Linked DNA regions of Caenorhabditis elegans. The protein of the gene in region 1 purifies or fractionates together with the protein of each later gene. This does not show direct contact. Each region holds a gene or a part of one and is shown on either strand. Other genes may lie near its edges.

Region 1 (7,769 bases):
TCGTATGTGATAGCCTAGAATTTGATGTGATGACTTTAATGGTGTTGTGTGTTTGGTGCCTATGCTCATTTCGCGCGTTTTTGTGCTCGCGCGCCGATAAACTTGGCGATGCTTCAGACAGAGCTTGCCTTTTTTTCTGTCCGTGCCAGATAAAAATGATGAATGTGAAAGAAGCTTCGATGAATGCTTATACATAAACGGGCTTACAGTAGGCAAAATTGAGAAAATATTGGTAAGGGAATTAGGCGCATTTTATATGTGTATGTGGAATGTGTTATAGATCTAAAAAATTATCTAGCAAAAAAAATATACCTGTTTAGTGGAACTATCGATGAGCCGAACAAACAGATCATGCTCACTGCGGATTCCTGAAAGAAAAAAAGGTTTGCAATTTTTCCCATTAGTTAGATTTTCTTAGATTCCAACAACTCACCATTCTGAAACATTAGAGACAGACGATAGTGTATCCCATTTCTGGTATCCTGACCGTCAACTTCTTTCTCTTTTTCAACAAATCCTGCAAACTGAGTCCGCTCGACTTCAATCGGCTGGCTGTTACGGTCGTACAGTGCAATGACAAAGTGAAAGAAGTTGGATTTACGGAGATTGTTTGGTGGGTGCTTTTCGAAATGAGCTCGTGCGATTTGAGTGCTGAAGATAAAAATTTTGAATAAAAAGTTTTGAAATGTTGTTTACAATTTAATTTGTTAAATAGAATTATTTCAATTAAAAATACAAAAAATATATAAATTTTCAGTATTGTTTCTGGAGAAATGAATATTTCACCAGGGATCAAAAATAAGAAAATTAAAAACTAACCTTGTATTCGACGTGTCGATGATTGGCCACGTGCTCCGCTGGTTCTCATCTTTTACAGACCTGAGTAAGGTATTCGAGTCAGGAAAGAACATTTGCACAGCCAGCGGCCCCTCGGGAACCGGCCTCATTAGACACAGATCCACAAGCGTGCTCGGCAGAGCTTCGCAAGCTCCGCCTACTGCGCACTAGGGGCCAATGGGTGGGCACACAGTAGGAAAAACATTGAGGGGAGAGTAGCTAAAAAGGAATCTGGCGACGGGCCGATTTGACTGCGGCTCCGGCTTTACTGATGTTGGAGTAACGATGAAGCACAGATAAAAGCATAGACAAAGTTTTGGTTTGGCGGGGAGAAAACCCAGCCAAAAACATGTGATGAACTAGGGGGTGCTTCAATTTTTCAACTCGGTGAAGTTGGGCTCGAAAGATAATTATTTCTCGTGCTTCTCCCATTGCGATCTCATTTAAAACGCTACCGACTTTTTTTTTTAAGCAGATGAAAATTATATATTTTTCATGTTTTATGAACATAGTAAATATTTTGTTCTGTTACGTAATCTTGGCTAAGAGGTTCCCAAAAATCAAATATATATATATATATATATATATATATATATATATATATATATATATATATGCTTATTGAATGTATTTTCGTTCCGTAATAAAACTGTAATTTATTTTAGAAAAAACATCTTAACCATATTTTGATACTTGTGTAAAATTTGATAATGACCAACCCTGTACTATTTTTATTTTTAGGCCTAAAAATTATAATTCGATATGCAAACGAAATATTGTTTTCAAAGTTCAGATCCGCCATGAAACATTTTCAAAAAGTGTACAAAAAATCTCATTACGAAAATGGGTTTAATTTTTTAATTTAATTTAAAACGAAAATGGGTTATCTGAAATTCCTAAAAAAAACCCTTAAAAATATTTTTTGGGATAATGCTATTTTGTTATTGTATAGCTGCTATTATGAAAAATTTTTATATTTCAATTCCCTTTAGATTTCGTGATCTAGACAGTAATGTTATTTTCTGAGTTTTTGATAAATGTTTTGAACGAACATTTTTACGAACATAACAATTAATAAAATCTACTTTTCGAGTAGCTAACATAAAATGCAATTATCTCTTTAATGAAATGAAACAGACTTCATGTTATGTTTAATAATTGATTATTGGAAATTGTAATATTTGTTGTATAAATGTTCAGAAGACGATTCCTTGTCTTTGCTCCTTTGCTCCTACGCCTTCACCCATTTCAGAAAAAAAAAACTCAACACAAAAAGTGAAGCATTCTACTATCTTTCCCAAACATGGTGATATGTGGTGTGCTCGTGGGCTCCTCACTTCACTCTGTCATATATGTAAATGGTTTGAAATCCGACAAGACAGCTGCGAACTCGTATAACTGGTATGTGTGTTTGTGTGTGGGTTTGTGAGTGCTCTGCCCCGTTTTCGAAATATGCAAATATTTCTGGACTAGCAATAAGAGATATATAACCGAAACGCGCGAAACGGAGATGGCCTCTCTCTGTCCACTTGTTTCCAGTTATCAGTTTGTAGCCATCTACGCAATTTGTAACATCTCAATAGCCCAAATCTCATCATTCACCATGTACGGGATTCTAGATTCGGAAGGAATTGAGAAATTTATGTAAAAACAAAATGCTCAAATCCAAGCAGAAAAATGAAAGAAATATGGATTACAAAAACGTTTGGGAACAACAAGATGATGTACTTTTTGAATTATTTCTAAAAGTTCATCTTCAACATCAGCACCTGAATCATAACAACGTATGACGCTATAGAAATGACGTTATACTTACTAAGTTAATTGTTAATTTAAGTGTTTCAAACATAATTCTAGACTTACTAAACTCATCGCCAATAAAGCTCAAGAATGTATCGCAAGCCATGAACACCTTACAATTTCCCCTTTGGGAATGAAATCCCGCTAACGTCATCAAAAAAAAAGGAGTTGGGTCTCTTCTATTTCAAAAGTGTCGTCCTAGAAGTTCTATCTTACCTTTGAAGGTCCGCAAAGACACCAGAATTGCTGAAAAGCAAGGATTCCAAGGTTTGAGTATTCATCAGATAATAATATTAACGCTCACCAAGCAATACTAATAAGAGTGGCTGTTATGGACAAAAAAGAAGGATGATAGTGGCTATCAATTCCGAGGGTGGGTTGTTAGGCAACGAGCCCGAGTACGGCTAATTGAAGCAAAGTCAAAAGAGAATATACAACTGTTGAGTTTGAGGATAGACGGAAAATATTATGAGCGAAGAGATATTTAGCTTGTGATAGCTAGTATACAGCTATTGTCATAGATTCGTTAGAATGACTAAAACTTTAGCCAATAGTGCATTGAGAATGAGGAGGCTTTCAAACATAATAATGAGGTATGAATCACCTTAAAGATACACATTTTGGTATTCAGGAATATGGTATCAAAATGTTTTTAGAAAATAGACAGGTTTAGAAAAGATGCTTACAAGGTGTATTTTTGTGATTTAGGGGGCTCATTCCTAGTTAAGAAATAGTTGTATATCTATGTAGTTGTATATTATAATTTCCAGATTATTTAACCCATTGAATGATATGTTTAGTATGAAGTATGCTTGGAAATAATATTAACCTAAGCTCAAAAATTGAACAAATTTCTTTGTAATGGTTATTAATGAATAACCTAGATATGATGGCATATAATACACAAACACCTAATCCTACAGGGTGGTCCATAATTATGGACTTGTTTTTGAAATTGTGTACCAAACGTAATAAATTTGAATTAACTTCTAGTAGAACCTCTTCGACTTTTACTAAGACAAATTTAATTAAGGAGTTACGTCTGAACGGTATCAAACCCAAAAATAAATAAATTTTATTTTAACAACTTCCAGTATTCCGGAGCCTCAGATCAGTACAGCTCCCATACCAGATTCTCTTTATTTATTTATTAAGATTCTGCTCAATTTTCCAGCATCAAGTTTTTCAAGGCAGCCTAAAAAGCCATGTAAAACAACTTACGGTTGAATGTGAAGATTTAATACAGGATTATAAGGTTCATCATAGAAGTTCATCTGGCCAGCTCTTAGCGGAGCTGTCAAACTCATGCCACAGTTTTCGGATCAAGTGGGAGGCAACAACACCAGCTACACAACCGACTCTGCAAAAGATTAATCTCTTATATGTCACAAGCGGTTTGGGTCCGACGGCCTCCCGTCCAAGTACGCCTGATAGATGCAACAAGGAGAGGAATAACGGAGCGAGTGTGAGGATTGAGCCAGCTGACTGTGAATTATGGTTATGGAGATATGCCTGATTAGCCGGAAGGCACGGCGCGAAACTTTGAAAATCTCTACAGCAAAAAAATGGGGGGGCAGCTGGGGGAAGATTGTTCGCACCCCTTTCACGTTCAAGCCTGGTGTGGTGGCTCACCAAAAATATTACAGAAAATAGTTGTATGACACACAGAAAAGTCAAGTGAAGGATTTCATCAATCATCCTAGAAAGCATAGCATACCACGCCTTGGTCCTCTTTTGTGCATACTTCTTCACAATCTTCAACAATTGAGACGTGAGAGGTCAGACAGACAACACTGAAGAAGGCAACACAAAAAAAACGGAAGAAGCACAAAAAAATAAAGAGATGGGAGAGGATGAGAGGATAGCGAAGAAAATTGATGGAGATTCGTGTGTCCTATTGCAGATTACGGTATCTGGAATCAAGAATGTAGAGTGTTTGGCTATTTGTGACCATCTTCTTTTAGGAACAAGCCAGGAGCCAGCATTTGAAGTCGTGCAAGTGAAGTGTAATATTGCTCATAGTTATCAACTTGGCGAAGTTATCACAATTGCTTTGATAAAACATTTATATACACAGAATATTGTTCTCAAGTCGGTATTTTTCTTTTCACTAAAGCAACGATGTTTCAGATCTACCGTAGTTGCTAAGATGTTTCCAGGTGTGAGTGAGTGCGCAAAGTTCGTTTTCAGGGATGCTGGAATTATCAAAAATATTTATCATGGTGTTGAATTGAAGCTGAAATATTATTATATAAGTTGTGTTATATTGGGTTTTATTTTATTTGTAGTTTCGGAACGCGAGGTCTTGTAGCCACTTGAATGCATAAGGTTTTTCTGCAATTAAAGTAGGTATTCAGTTGTGTTGTTCCAACTTCAAAAAAAAGTTGCACTGTTGTAAACTGGACCCCATAATTATGAACCACCCCGTTTGTATAAAGAATATTGTTTATGCACGTGGTGCCAGGCTGTCCCATCACGGTTTGATCTACAAAAAATGCGGGAATTTTTCTCCCAAAAAAAAATGTGACGTCAGCACATTTTTAACCATGAGAAATCAGTTGAGAACTCTGCGTCTCTTCTCCCGCATTTTTTGTAGATCTACGCAGATCAAACCGAAATAAGACACTCTGACACCACGTGTTTGTACAGTTTTCCAGTATTTGCAGTTTGTAATACAAATATTAAATACAATAACATAGCTTTAGATTTGTTGCATTCATTTGAAATTTTTTCTGATAATGGTGGGGAAATTAATTCTTCCCTTTTAAAAATGCTTGACAGAAATATTTTAATACACAGCTTCAATCGGCAGACTAAACTTAAAGAGCAGGTTTACGACAGCGTTGTTTTTTTTTTCTCGTCCTTCTATTTTTCGACATCGGAACGTCTTGTACCATCCAGCACTTATTTCACAATGTCAACTCACTTTACATATCAACGCTCACGAAACAAAATTTTACGACTGAAACGCTGAAACGACTGAACTGTGTGCTTGTAAAATTTCCTTTCATTATTCTATAAAAGCGATGCTCGGGCACTGATAGTGATTGCCATCATCATTTGTGCAATACGAATGGCGGCGCATCAAATTTTACTCCTTTGTTTGTTACTACTATTAGCGCCGTTGCGGAATGGACAAACCACGCCGACCACGAGAGCCCAGGCCGATTTGGTTAATCAACTGCCAGGGACTATTTTTCAGGTAATAATACATTTTATATTTTTGTTTTTTGAAAATATGTATGCAGAATTATTTTATTCCAAATTTCTGTGTTTTTAGGTAAAATTTAAACAACTAAAAAAGTTCGCAGGTTGATTAAACACATTACCTTTTAGGTGAACTTCAAACAGTATGCGGGTTACCTCAACTCTGATCCCAACAAAAACTACAACAATCTTCACTATTGGTAAGTTCAAGATATTAATCTAAACATTTTATTATCTGGATACTGAACCTTGACTACCAAACAAAATAAAACAATTTCAGGTTAATCGAATCTCAACTGACCCCTTCCAATGATACGCTCCTTCTTTGGATTAATGGAGGTCCGGGATGTAGTTCAGTTTTCGGGCAGATCCAGGAAATCGGCCCATTCCATGTGTCTAGTGATAGTCAGACGGTGTATGAAAATGTGTTTGCTTGGAACAAGGTGTCCAATTTGCTTGCCATCGACGGTCCGGGCGCCGGCTTCTCATGGCAACAAAATCTCTTTCAAGACGACAGCTACGTAACTGGTGCTCTTCTTAACGCTCTCATGGATTTCTATACGGTGTATCCAAATATGCTAAACTCTGATCTCTACATTGCTGGTGAAGGATACGGATCTTTCTTTGCTTCGTCGTTGGTAGAATCTCTGATGGTGAATAACACTCCAAGACCGGACATTGTTACCTCTCCAGTTAATATTCGAGTGAGTTATCTACAAAAGTTGTTGCAACACTATCAGATACATTAAAACAAATTTTATGAGTTTCTATTTATTCTTATCATAGTTCAATTCTGAAGTTTGCTGGGAAATTTTAAAAATGAAATTTTTGAAAAATTCAGGGACTTCTTCTTGCAAATGGTGACTTGAGTGCTCGCCTCCAATACAACAGTCTCATCCCATTCTACTACACTCATGGATTTGCCGGATCAAAGTTGGACCTATTTTTCTATCATTTATCATTTTGAATTTATTTTCAGACAATATGACGATCTCAAATCAGTTTGTTGCACAAATGCTTCCACCCAAACTTGCGATTTTTTCAACAGTAACACAGCATGCAGAACCAAAGCTGACAACGCAATTGCCACTTGGTCAAATTATCAGTACGTGGTTTTTGATCGTTTTTAATTTGGAATGCACACTTGATTTTATCACTTGTGAAATTGGGAATGGAAAGTCATCAAAATGAGGGGAAAGTGCTATGGTCACAAAATATTAGAGAACAAAGACCAGATTGCAACAACGCAACAATTTAAAATTTTAGAGCCAATAAGATAGTACTTACAAGAAGGGGGTGTTCTGAAATCAATGTAAATTAAATTCATTTTAGCCTTTAGTTTGATATTATCGATTTACTTGATCACACAGCTACAACTAGAAATGAACTTTTGATTTTTAGAAATGAACTTTTGATACAATTGATTCTATAAATTTACTGACCATCTATTTGAACACATGTTCAAGCTTTTAGTCATTTCCATACTTGAACATTCTGTATCAATTTGGTTTCAGAATTGACAACACAAACATCAACGAAGACTGCTACAGAAACCAAGCTGCATGGCAAACATCCTTCAAACAACTTGGAATTAATGTATTGAACATAACGCTTAACGCTTGACATTAGGAAGTAACTTTCAGGCAGCTGTAGATAACTACAACTCAACGGACTCATTCAGAGGATATCCATGCTTTGCACTTTCAGCCACCGCCGCTTATTTAAACAGACAAGATGTTCAAGCTGCACTTCATGTTAGTGTGAATGCAAGTACAAACTTCCAGACTTGCAGGTGAGCAGTTTGCATACTATGTAGTACTTAACAATAATATGATCAGAAATCTGACATACGGAGAACTCTCAACGGATTTGCAAATCCGAATTTCCTCAATTCTAACATCCGAGAAGTATGCTCAAAATAACAT
Region 2 (8,013 bases), on another chromosome or scaffold:
AAAATGTATTTAAAAGAAATCTTAAAAAATATTTAATCGACGTGTAGAAAAAAAGCTGTCAGAAATTATCAAAGACGATTATTTAGATTTTTAAATATTTTAATAATCCAGAGTGACAATTTCATTTGATCAATTTTGGAAAAGAAGTGAGTTTTCAACAGTTTTGAATTCAAAATATATTATTTTTTCAGATGCTATTATTATTCCGTTGTACAATCACTGTTGTCCTTCCAATTATTTTCCTCATCTTTTTTGTAATTGGATGTCTAAAAAAGAAACCATCACAGAGTAAGAAGAAGCCATCAAAAGTGTCAACAGTCACTTCAACGACGATTAGTCAAGAGAAAACAAATTCTAAAAGAGGATCAAAAGATGCTGTTGTGGATGTTTCAAAGCCTGGAAAACTTCCAACTTTAGGAGAAAATAATAAGAATTTGAGTGATAAGAAAAGCAAGCAGAGATCACTGAAGGCACAGAAACAAGATGGACTGAAAATGGAGAAGAAGGCATCGGATAAGCGGAAGAAGAAGGCGAATAAGAAGAGTCCTCGAACACAGGAGACACAGGAAGTTGTGATAAAAAACTCGAAAAATACAGATGATTCCTGCATGCACACTGCAATTCGAGCCAATACCATGATGCATACAGTTCGTGAACCATCAAAGATTGCTTCTAATGTAGGAAATTTTAATTAACTTGATACCGTAATTCATCTTTCTATAAATTTTTTTGTTTAGGCCAAACCTAATGATGGATCAGACGGAGCGGACGGTGGCTACGAAAAACTGGGTGACTTGTCAGCTGATGATCTCAGGAAAATCGCAGAAGCTGCTCCGAAATAGACCTCTTAGCTTTTTTGTGGAAAATATTTTGGAATAAATTTTTTTTATACAAAAAAAAACTAACTTTTTGATCATTTCTCAATTTTGGAATCATAGCAATCATTAAACTTCCAACGTATGGTCTCATGAACTTTGGACTCTGTTTCGCCAATTGCGCGATCATTTTCGCAGAATGTTGCTCCAATCTTGCCTGACCACTTTGTTGCATTTGACTCAATGTCTCTAGGAGCATCAATCGAAGACGTGGCAAAACAAGTGCCGGATTGAGCTCTGCGAGTCGTCCGAGTAACGTCACACATGCTTGCTGCATTTCGAGTTTTTCGTCGTGAAGAGCCATAAATTGTACTTCGAGCATTTCGGGTTGAGCCAAATGAGCAAGGAATGGCCGTGGCATTTGTCCGAAACAGCTGATTACTTGCATTCTGACACGGACATCTGAAATAAATTAAAAACATTTTTGAATATTTGATCAGGAGCACAATTTTGCGCCATTAGTACTGTACCCGGTCTCGACACGACAATTGTTTTAATAGAAAAAGGTATGCGCCTTTAAGGAGTACTGTAATTTCAAACTTTTGTTGCTACGGAATTTTCATTAAAATTTTCCGACTTTTTTCCAGAAAATCATAGGGAAATTGTCATTTTTTGAGAATCGAGAAAAATTGAGAGATGTTCGGACGAGACAATAAAAAAATAGATTTTTCGAAAAATGATGAATCCAAAATATTGAGATGACTAGAAGAATTATTGAAAATTCAATTTTTTTCGTTTATCGATTTTCGAAAAAAATAAAACTTTAAAATTACAGTGCTATTTAAAGGCGGTTAATTCTCGTTTCGACCAGTTACCGTAGTTTCGAGTAAATACCTACCTTGATCATTAACAATAACCGAACAAACAGCTCGCAGCACACCATAAATAGTTTGAAGAAGACTATTTCTCTTGTCACTTGTAACTTTTTTATAAACTCCAACAAATGGTACGACCATTTCACAACACGAAGAGACAGCAGCCAAACGGATTTCCACATTGTCCGCTGTCAAGTAGTACTGAAAAACCACAAAATTACAGAAAAATCGAGAAAACTTTCGAACGTACATCTGCAACGTATTGCATGATTCTCTGCAAGGCACCTCTTGAGAAATAGAATTCACCGAGCACATCGACAGCCAGCACGATTCGTTGAAGCTCTTTTGGATCGGTTTCTGCTTTCTGAAATATAAATCTTTTGCATAAATACAACCCCAAAACTCTCATTTGAGATTTTTTGAATTTACTTCTTTGCACAACAGAAATATCGCCAATGAGAAATATATTTAAAACCATTGTTAATGCTAACATGATAAAATATCATAGGAAATCTGTTCGAAAAATTTAAATTTTAAAAAGTCGCCATTTCTATTTTCTTATTTTGCTGATTATGAAAATATTTGAAAACCCCGCAAAGTTTAGGTTTTTTTTTCGATTTTTCGGCTTTTAAATTTACGATTTCTGGAAACAAAAATCAAAAATTTCGAAAAATTTCTGGTCATTTCTCTATTTTTCAAAAGATAATTTCGATAAATTTATAGCTTCTCTGTCTTTTGTTTTTCGAACATATCTGAAAAAAGCGAAAAATCATACAAATTTTTAACGACGCCCTTGGTTCGAATATAGAAAAATGTCGAAACTTTGACGGAAAATTATTTCAAAAAAGATAAAATTGTAAGCGTTTTTAAATCTGATGGGATTCTGATCTTTATTTAAAAAATGTTATGTGCTTTTCAGATTCAAAAAAATTACTTCGAGCAAAATTATAAAATTTCTCTACGAAACAAACCTGCAAAATAGCTTTAGGACTCGCAGGCCTTCCAATCGGTTCGGATTTTGGTGGAATTAGAGATCCAGTGAGTGTTTGATAGACAGAAGCCATAACACCATCTTGAACATTCAGCCGCAGTTTCGGAATTCTCATCATAATCATTTTTAGCACGTTTGCCAGCGATCGAGACAGGGTAATATCCATTAATTGTGGAATTATTGCCTTGATTTGTGTCGTCACTTGTTCGTGATAAGCATCCACAAATAGGAACAGGAATGTGAAATAATTATCGAGAACATCAGAATTCGTCGTTTTTCTACAAAATTTAACTATTAAAAAAAGTGTACTAATTTCAAATTTACTTGATAGCAGCAGAGATAAAACTGATTGTTTTCTCGATATGTGTGGCATGTACATCTGGATTCGAGAGCATCATCATTCCGATTGCTGGAGCAGCGACCGCATTTCTTTGAAGACTGAAAAAATTGAACATTATTGGAAATTTTGAATCACCATAATTTTTTTTGAGTCTCGTTACAAAATTCGTTTTTAGCGCATTTCGAGTCTATAAAAGCTAAAAGCCCATAAACATCAGTCCTCTTCCATTCTACGTACATAGTAAATGAAGTGTCGAATGAGATTGTTTGAAAAGTTCGATCACATTGTGGAAATGCACAAATTCTTGGTAGAAGCTGCATGAGAACTGTATTCAGGTAAATCGAGCTTTGCTGTTTCGTGGATGAAGTTTTGTTTGCGAGAGGTATTATCTGACGAACACAATCGAGTATCTGGAAAAAAACATAACAAATTTCGGGAAATGAAGAATTTCAGCTTTTACCTTCGGAAATCGTTCCAAAACCAGCTTTCGAGCAGTCACACTTTCCACAATAGTTTGTTGCCTTAAAAATACAAGTTTTTAAATAGATGAAAAAGAATCGATTACTTAGTTAGGACAAGCCATTCAACACCTTCTTCTTCGTCTTCTTTCAAAAACTTTTGTTTAATAAACTGTGAGGATTCACATCTGATGAGTTCGAATCGTTGATCAGAAATTCGAAGAAGTTCATTGAGAATCAGGGCGACGGCATGCCATCTATCCAAATCGTCCTTTTGCGATGGGTTTGGTTGACCTTCCAGTGCTTCATCGAAACATTTCTGGAATATAAAATCATTCTAACGAAAGATCAAAATTTTAATTGATCACCTTAAACCACTCAGTTTTATTCTTTGCTTCACGCTGTGAAACAATTGTCAAAACCACGTGTAATGCATCAATTCCGGCGATTCTTACAGCTGGATTCTTGTCTCTGACAGCGTTGAAGATATACTTGAAAAATAAGTTTACACGAAGAAAGAATGCTGTCGGTGTGGCCAGTGCGAGCTCACGAGAGAGGTGTGAAGCGGCGAGTCGACGAATTTGATCAATTTCCTGTTGATTTTTGGGTTGCTGACTATGTGGAACATTTTGACCAAGCCATTCGTGGCAATGATCAAGACAACGATCAACCAGCTCGGCCGCGTATGATTTACAAGTCTGCAAATGTTTAAAATTGGTTTAAAAAAAATTAAATTACTTACCGCAATCAGAAAAGCGAGAGCTTTTGAAGCCATCTTGACTGTATCTTCATCTAATCCATTTCCATTATTTAACATTTTCAGAAGATAATTCGCATATCGAATAACATTTCCAGAATGAGTTTCAGCTAAGCACACGATGAGATAGATACCGGCTCGTTTCTGATCGATATTTGAATTCGACTTCATACAATTATAAATTGCACTCTGAGAGGCTATATCTGTTCGTCCATCGATTGCATTCAGGAAAGCATCACTAAAAGTATTTGGCTCGTCTTTCAGCTCACTTCGAACATATCTGAGGAAAATAATATATTTAATTTATTGACTTTTATTTAAAAAAAAAACTACCTGCTGAGTTCTCGAGCAGCCTGTCGTTGATTTGCATCTCTATTTTCCGTAATTCGGCTCCGATATTGTGAAGCAAGAGCTCTTGCAGCATCAATCCCTTGCTGAAATATGATTTTTTTTTCCTTAAAAATTGTTTAAAGGAGAAGAAATACTAACTTTACGATGCCGCTCGTCAAATTCATTTGTAGCTGGAGCGGAGACTATTCGATTGGAAGTTGTGGCTGCTTTGTTCTGTCTATCGGCATTCATTTGAAAACTAATTCCGTGTTGTTGGAGCATTTTTCAAAGATGTTTCTGCCGATTTAGTGCATTGTGGGCTTAAAATTACGTTAAGAATAAAAAGTTATGAGAATGATCAGAAGCATAGAAAATCACTGGTTTTTTTCCGAAAATAAAATTATTTCCAGCTGAAATAATCAAGAAAGTGCTCAAAACTGGCCGTTTTCAGAAAAATATAGCTTGATAGTTCGATAATAGACAACTTTCAGGTAATTTTTTACCACTTTTTAAATTTTTTTCAGCTAAAAATTAGGTTTTTTTTCCTATGTAAATCAAGGGATTTTCAATGAAAAATATGAGAACAACACGGAGCCTTTTGTAATATCAGATAACTATGGGCTGACAAAACCCGTTGCATATTTCAAAATATCAAGAAAAAAGAACAATGGATATTCTTTGAAAAACTAAATAAACTGAGGAAGGAAGCAAAGCAAACAACATTTTTAAAAGCCTACTCGAAAACAAAAAAAATATCTAGAAACAACTTTTTATCGATTGAAAACTCGTGGAGCTCCTCTCTTGAATCTGTCCATGTCTTCTGTTCGTGCCGCTCGTCTCTTCTCATCATCCAATCTATCTCGATTTTTCATGAATTCTTTTTCCTGCCAAAGCTTCTGCATCACGTAGGCATCGTCGTCGAGATATGGAGTTTCGTATTCTTTCTGGCCGAGTTGAGGTGGTGCAAAGTGTTCTGTGGCTTGTTTTCTGGAACATATTTTTATTTTAAAAAAATTAATTTTATCAGGAACTCACTGATATGTAAATCCAGCGAATGAAGTGATTGTTCTCTTGCGTGGAGCCGCGGATTCTCCAGTTTCCAAACGGAAGACCGCATCATTTCGCTCGTGAACTACTGATTCTATACGATCCATTGTCTGAAATATATCATTTTGCATTTATTAAATTTTTAAAATATACCTCATGAACACGATCAAGTCTCTCTGGGTTTGGCATGTTCCGGGCACGTGAAGTGTGCGCTTTTTTCATCGTTATCAGCATATTTCGCTCCTTCAAGCACACATACCTTAAATTTAAATTTTTAATAAATTTAAAACCGAATTGCCATTAAATTACCAAAGCTTATGCAAATCTGAATTGCTTTTTAATCTCAGTTCTTCTGCTGTCCACGATCTGCCCGGCCGATGTTTCGGGCGGAGCTCTGCTTTTCCAAAATTCGCTTCATCATCGAAAAATTGTTTCATTGTACTGGAAAATCGTGTGTTGACGGCATTTTGTGATCTAAAAGAAGCAAAAATTAACTGGAATTCAACAAACTTCGATTTATCAACTAACCGAACAGCCGAAGACACCAAACTCGGTAAACTACGCCACATTGTAGATTTGAAGAACCTCAAAGAATGAAAATTGGTAAAATCAAAATTTTGCATATATAAAGAGCAAAATATTCAATAAAAACAAAAGAAAACATTAAAAAATAGAATATTTTGGAGAAAACCTTGCTGCCAAAAAATAATAAATGGGCGGCAAGTGCGCTCCACCGCACAATTGCCTCCCCCATAGCAGAGGTAATTCAAAAAATAGTTTTTTCTAGATAAAATTTCAATAGCAAGTTTTAATACTTTTAACATGGGTTTTCAGTAAAACATTGAATTAACTTCAAGTAATTATTTCTTGAAAAAATTCTTCGACAAAAAAGTTCATTTTAAGTCAGATATTAATTTTTGAAATTATGAAAACTTAGTTAATCTCCCAATAAATAAATGCGGTCATTTATATGCCTGGAGGTCAGTTTTTTTGATTAAACTGGAAGCTTCTGGCACCTAGAAAAATTTTGTTATTAAATTTTGAAAGCGCTTAAAATTTGAAACAAGTCCCCGAAGAAACATTTTCAAAAAAGTTCAATTTAAGTCAGATATTAATTTTTGAAATTACGAAAACTAAATAAATCTCCCAATAAAAAATGCGGTCATTTATATGCCTGGAGGTCAGTTTTTTTGATTAAACTGGAAGCTTGTAGCACCTAGAAAAATTATATTATTAAATTCTGGAAGCGCTTAAAATTTGAAGAAATCCGAAAAGTTCTAGAATTTTCTAAAAAGTTCTGGGAATTTTTTAAAGAAAAACCTGGAAAGTTGTAGAATTTTCTTGAAAGTCCGCAAAACTCCAGGAGAATGTATAACTGTACAAAAATGCTACATTAGCACTTTAAAATTCATTAAAACAATTTAGCGTACGCCAGTCGGAGCACGCGCTTTGCGTGTGCGAACGGCTGGTATATATAAAAGTGTGTGAACAAGATATTCCATCGTCGAATCGTACATTTTGAAATGCCAATAGTTTTTTTTTTGAACAATATTATCATTAAGAGGTCGTGTTGTGTCAGGTGTCGTCTTTCAATCTTGAAGTAATGTCCGAAACATTTTGCTCATTGCGGTTGTAACCCCTTCCTGTGTCTTGTCTCTGTGTCTCTGAAGATTGTACATCGCACTAATGCTCACTGAGCACCACAAAATGAATTGAAAAGATAGGGAAAGTGTTCTGGAGGAGACAGGAAGATAAAGAAGACAATTTCATTTCGTTTCTTATACTCCCTCACCTTTAGTTCAATTCTTCTTATATCACTTTATCACATTGAAAACTGAGTTTTCTTTTATTAAAGATGGTATAGTGGGGAAAATGCTAAAATTACTTTAATAATCCTCAAATTGTCAAATGTCATAAAATATTTTTGAGCGTAATCTGAAATATGTTTATTTACCACCATAAAGTGGATATTACTTAGTTTTCATCGGTCATAGTTTTGAGAGTCGACCAGGAAAACCATTTTTTCTGCAGGTTTAAAATATTAATGATGTTTTCATTATTCGTATCAGGAGGTGCAAAAGCTTGAAAGCTTTACTTTTTACTTGACGTGCTAGAAAATGATTGAAGATTTTTGCTTGAAATCCAACTCAAGCAAAAATAATGCCACAAATATCCGGTTTGCCGTTATTTCATTCTTTTTTCTAGAAAGTTTCTTGAAGTTTATACAGTTTGATTAAACAAATAACGTTCAAAAAGATTGATGTTTGAAAACCTGACTTTGCGCTTGATTTTCATCTCTTATTCATATTTTGACATTTGACATTTTTGCACTTCGAACATGCAAGAAAACTCTGAGTTTCTCAGAAATTTTACGAAAATTTGTAAATTTTCCAAAGTTTT

Evidence for each region. Proteins that work in one complex are often made in the same cells at the same time.
Region 2: the proteins of unc-3 (region 1) and let-363 fractionate together in Caenorhabditis elegans (co-fractionation; one large-scale study listed by BioGRID). This does not show direct contact.

Annotation. Positions count from the first base shown.
Region 1 is NC_003284.9:14,769,766-14,777,534, reverse strand, and holds the start of unc-3 (Transcription factor unc-3), read right to left. Parts: upstream 3,998-7,769; 5' UTR 3,945-3,997; coding exon 3,859-3,944; intron 880-3,858; coding exon 820-879; intron 652-819; coding exon 434-651; intron 369-433; coding exon 313-368; intron 15-312; coding exon 1-14. Other genes in the region: Y16B4A.2 (Carboxypeptidase), read left to right, coding at 5,711-5,839, 5,974-6,044, 6,125-6,548, 6,686-6,777, 6,824-6,949, 7,359-7,440, 7,488-7,636, 7,683-7,769. UniProt on the Caenorhabditis elegans protein: Transcription factor. Involved in motor neuron fate determination and maintenance, acting as an activator of gene expression in a subset of motor neurons. May act in concert with GFI1 homolog pag-3 in motor neuron fate determination.
Region 2 is NC_003279.8:5,242,616-5,250,628, reverse strand, and holds the start of let-363 (Target of rapamycin homolog), read right to left. Parts: upstream 4,887-8,013; 5' UTR 4,849-4,886; coding exon 4,726-4,848; intron 4,671-4,725; coding exon 4,570-4,670; intron 4,517-4,569; coding exon 4,222-4,516; intron 4,178-4,221; coding exon 3,848-4,177; intron 3,799-3,847; coding exon 3,587-3,798; intron 3,543-3,586; coding exon 3,482-3,542; intron 3,432-3,481; coding exon 3,259-3,431; intron 3,120-3,258; coding exon 3,006-3,119; intron 2,960-3,005; coding exon 2,662-2,959; intron 2,055-2,661; coding exon 1,941-2,054; intron 1,892-1,940; coding exon 1,714-1,891; intron 1,278-1,713; coding exon 907-1,277; intron 896-906; exon of another isoform or gene 843-895; coding exon of another isoform or gene 738-842; intron 678-737; coding exon of another isoform or gene 192-677; intron 147-191; exon of another isoform or gene 92-146; intron 1-91. Other genes in the region: B0261.5 (uncharacterized protein), read left to right, coding at 192-677, 738-842; mrpl-47 (Large ribosomal subunit protein uL29m), read right to left, coding at 5,337-5,553, 5,602-5,723, 5,767-5,872, 5,923-6,087, 6,142-6,236. UniProt on the Caenorhabditis elegans protein: Serine/threonine-protein kinase that regulates the mRNA translation machinery, probably by modulating the activity of translation factors such as eIF-4G and eIF-2. It may have some protein kinase activity instead of lipid kinase activity.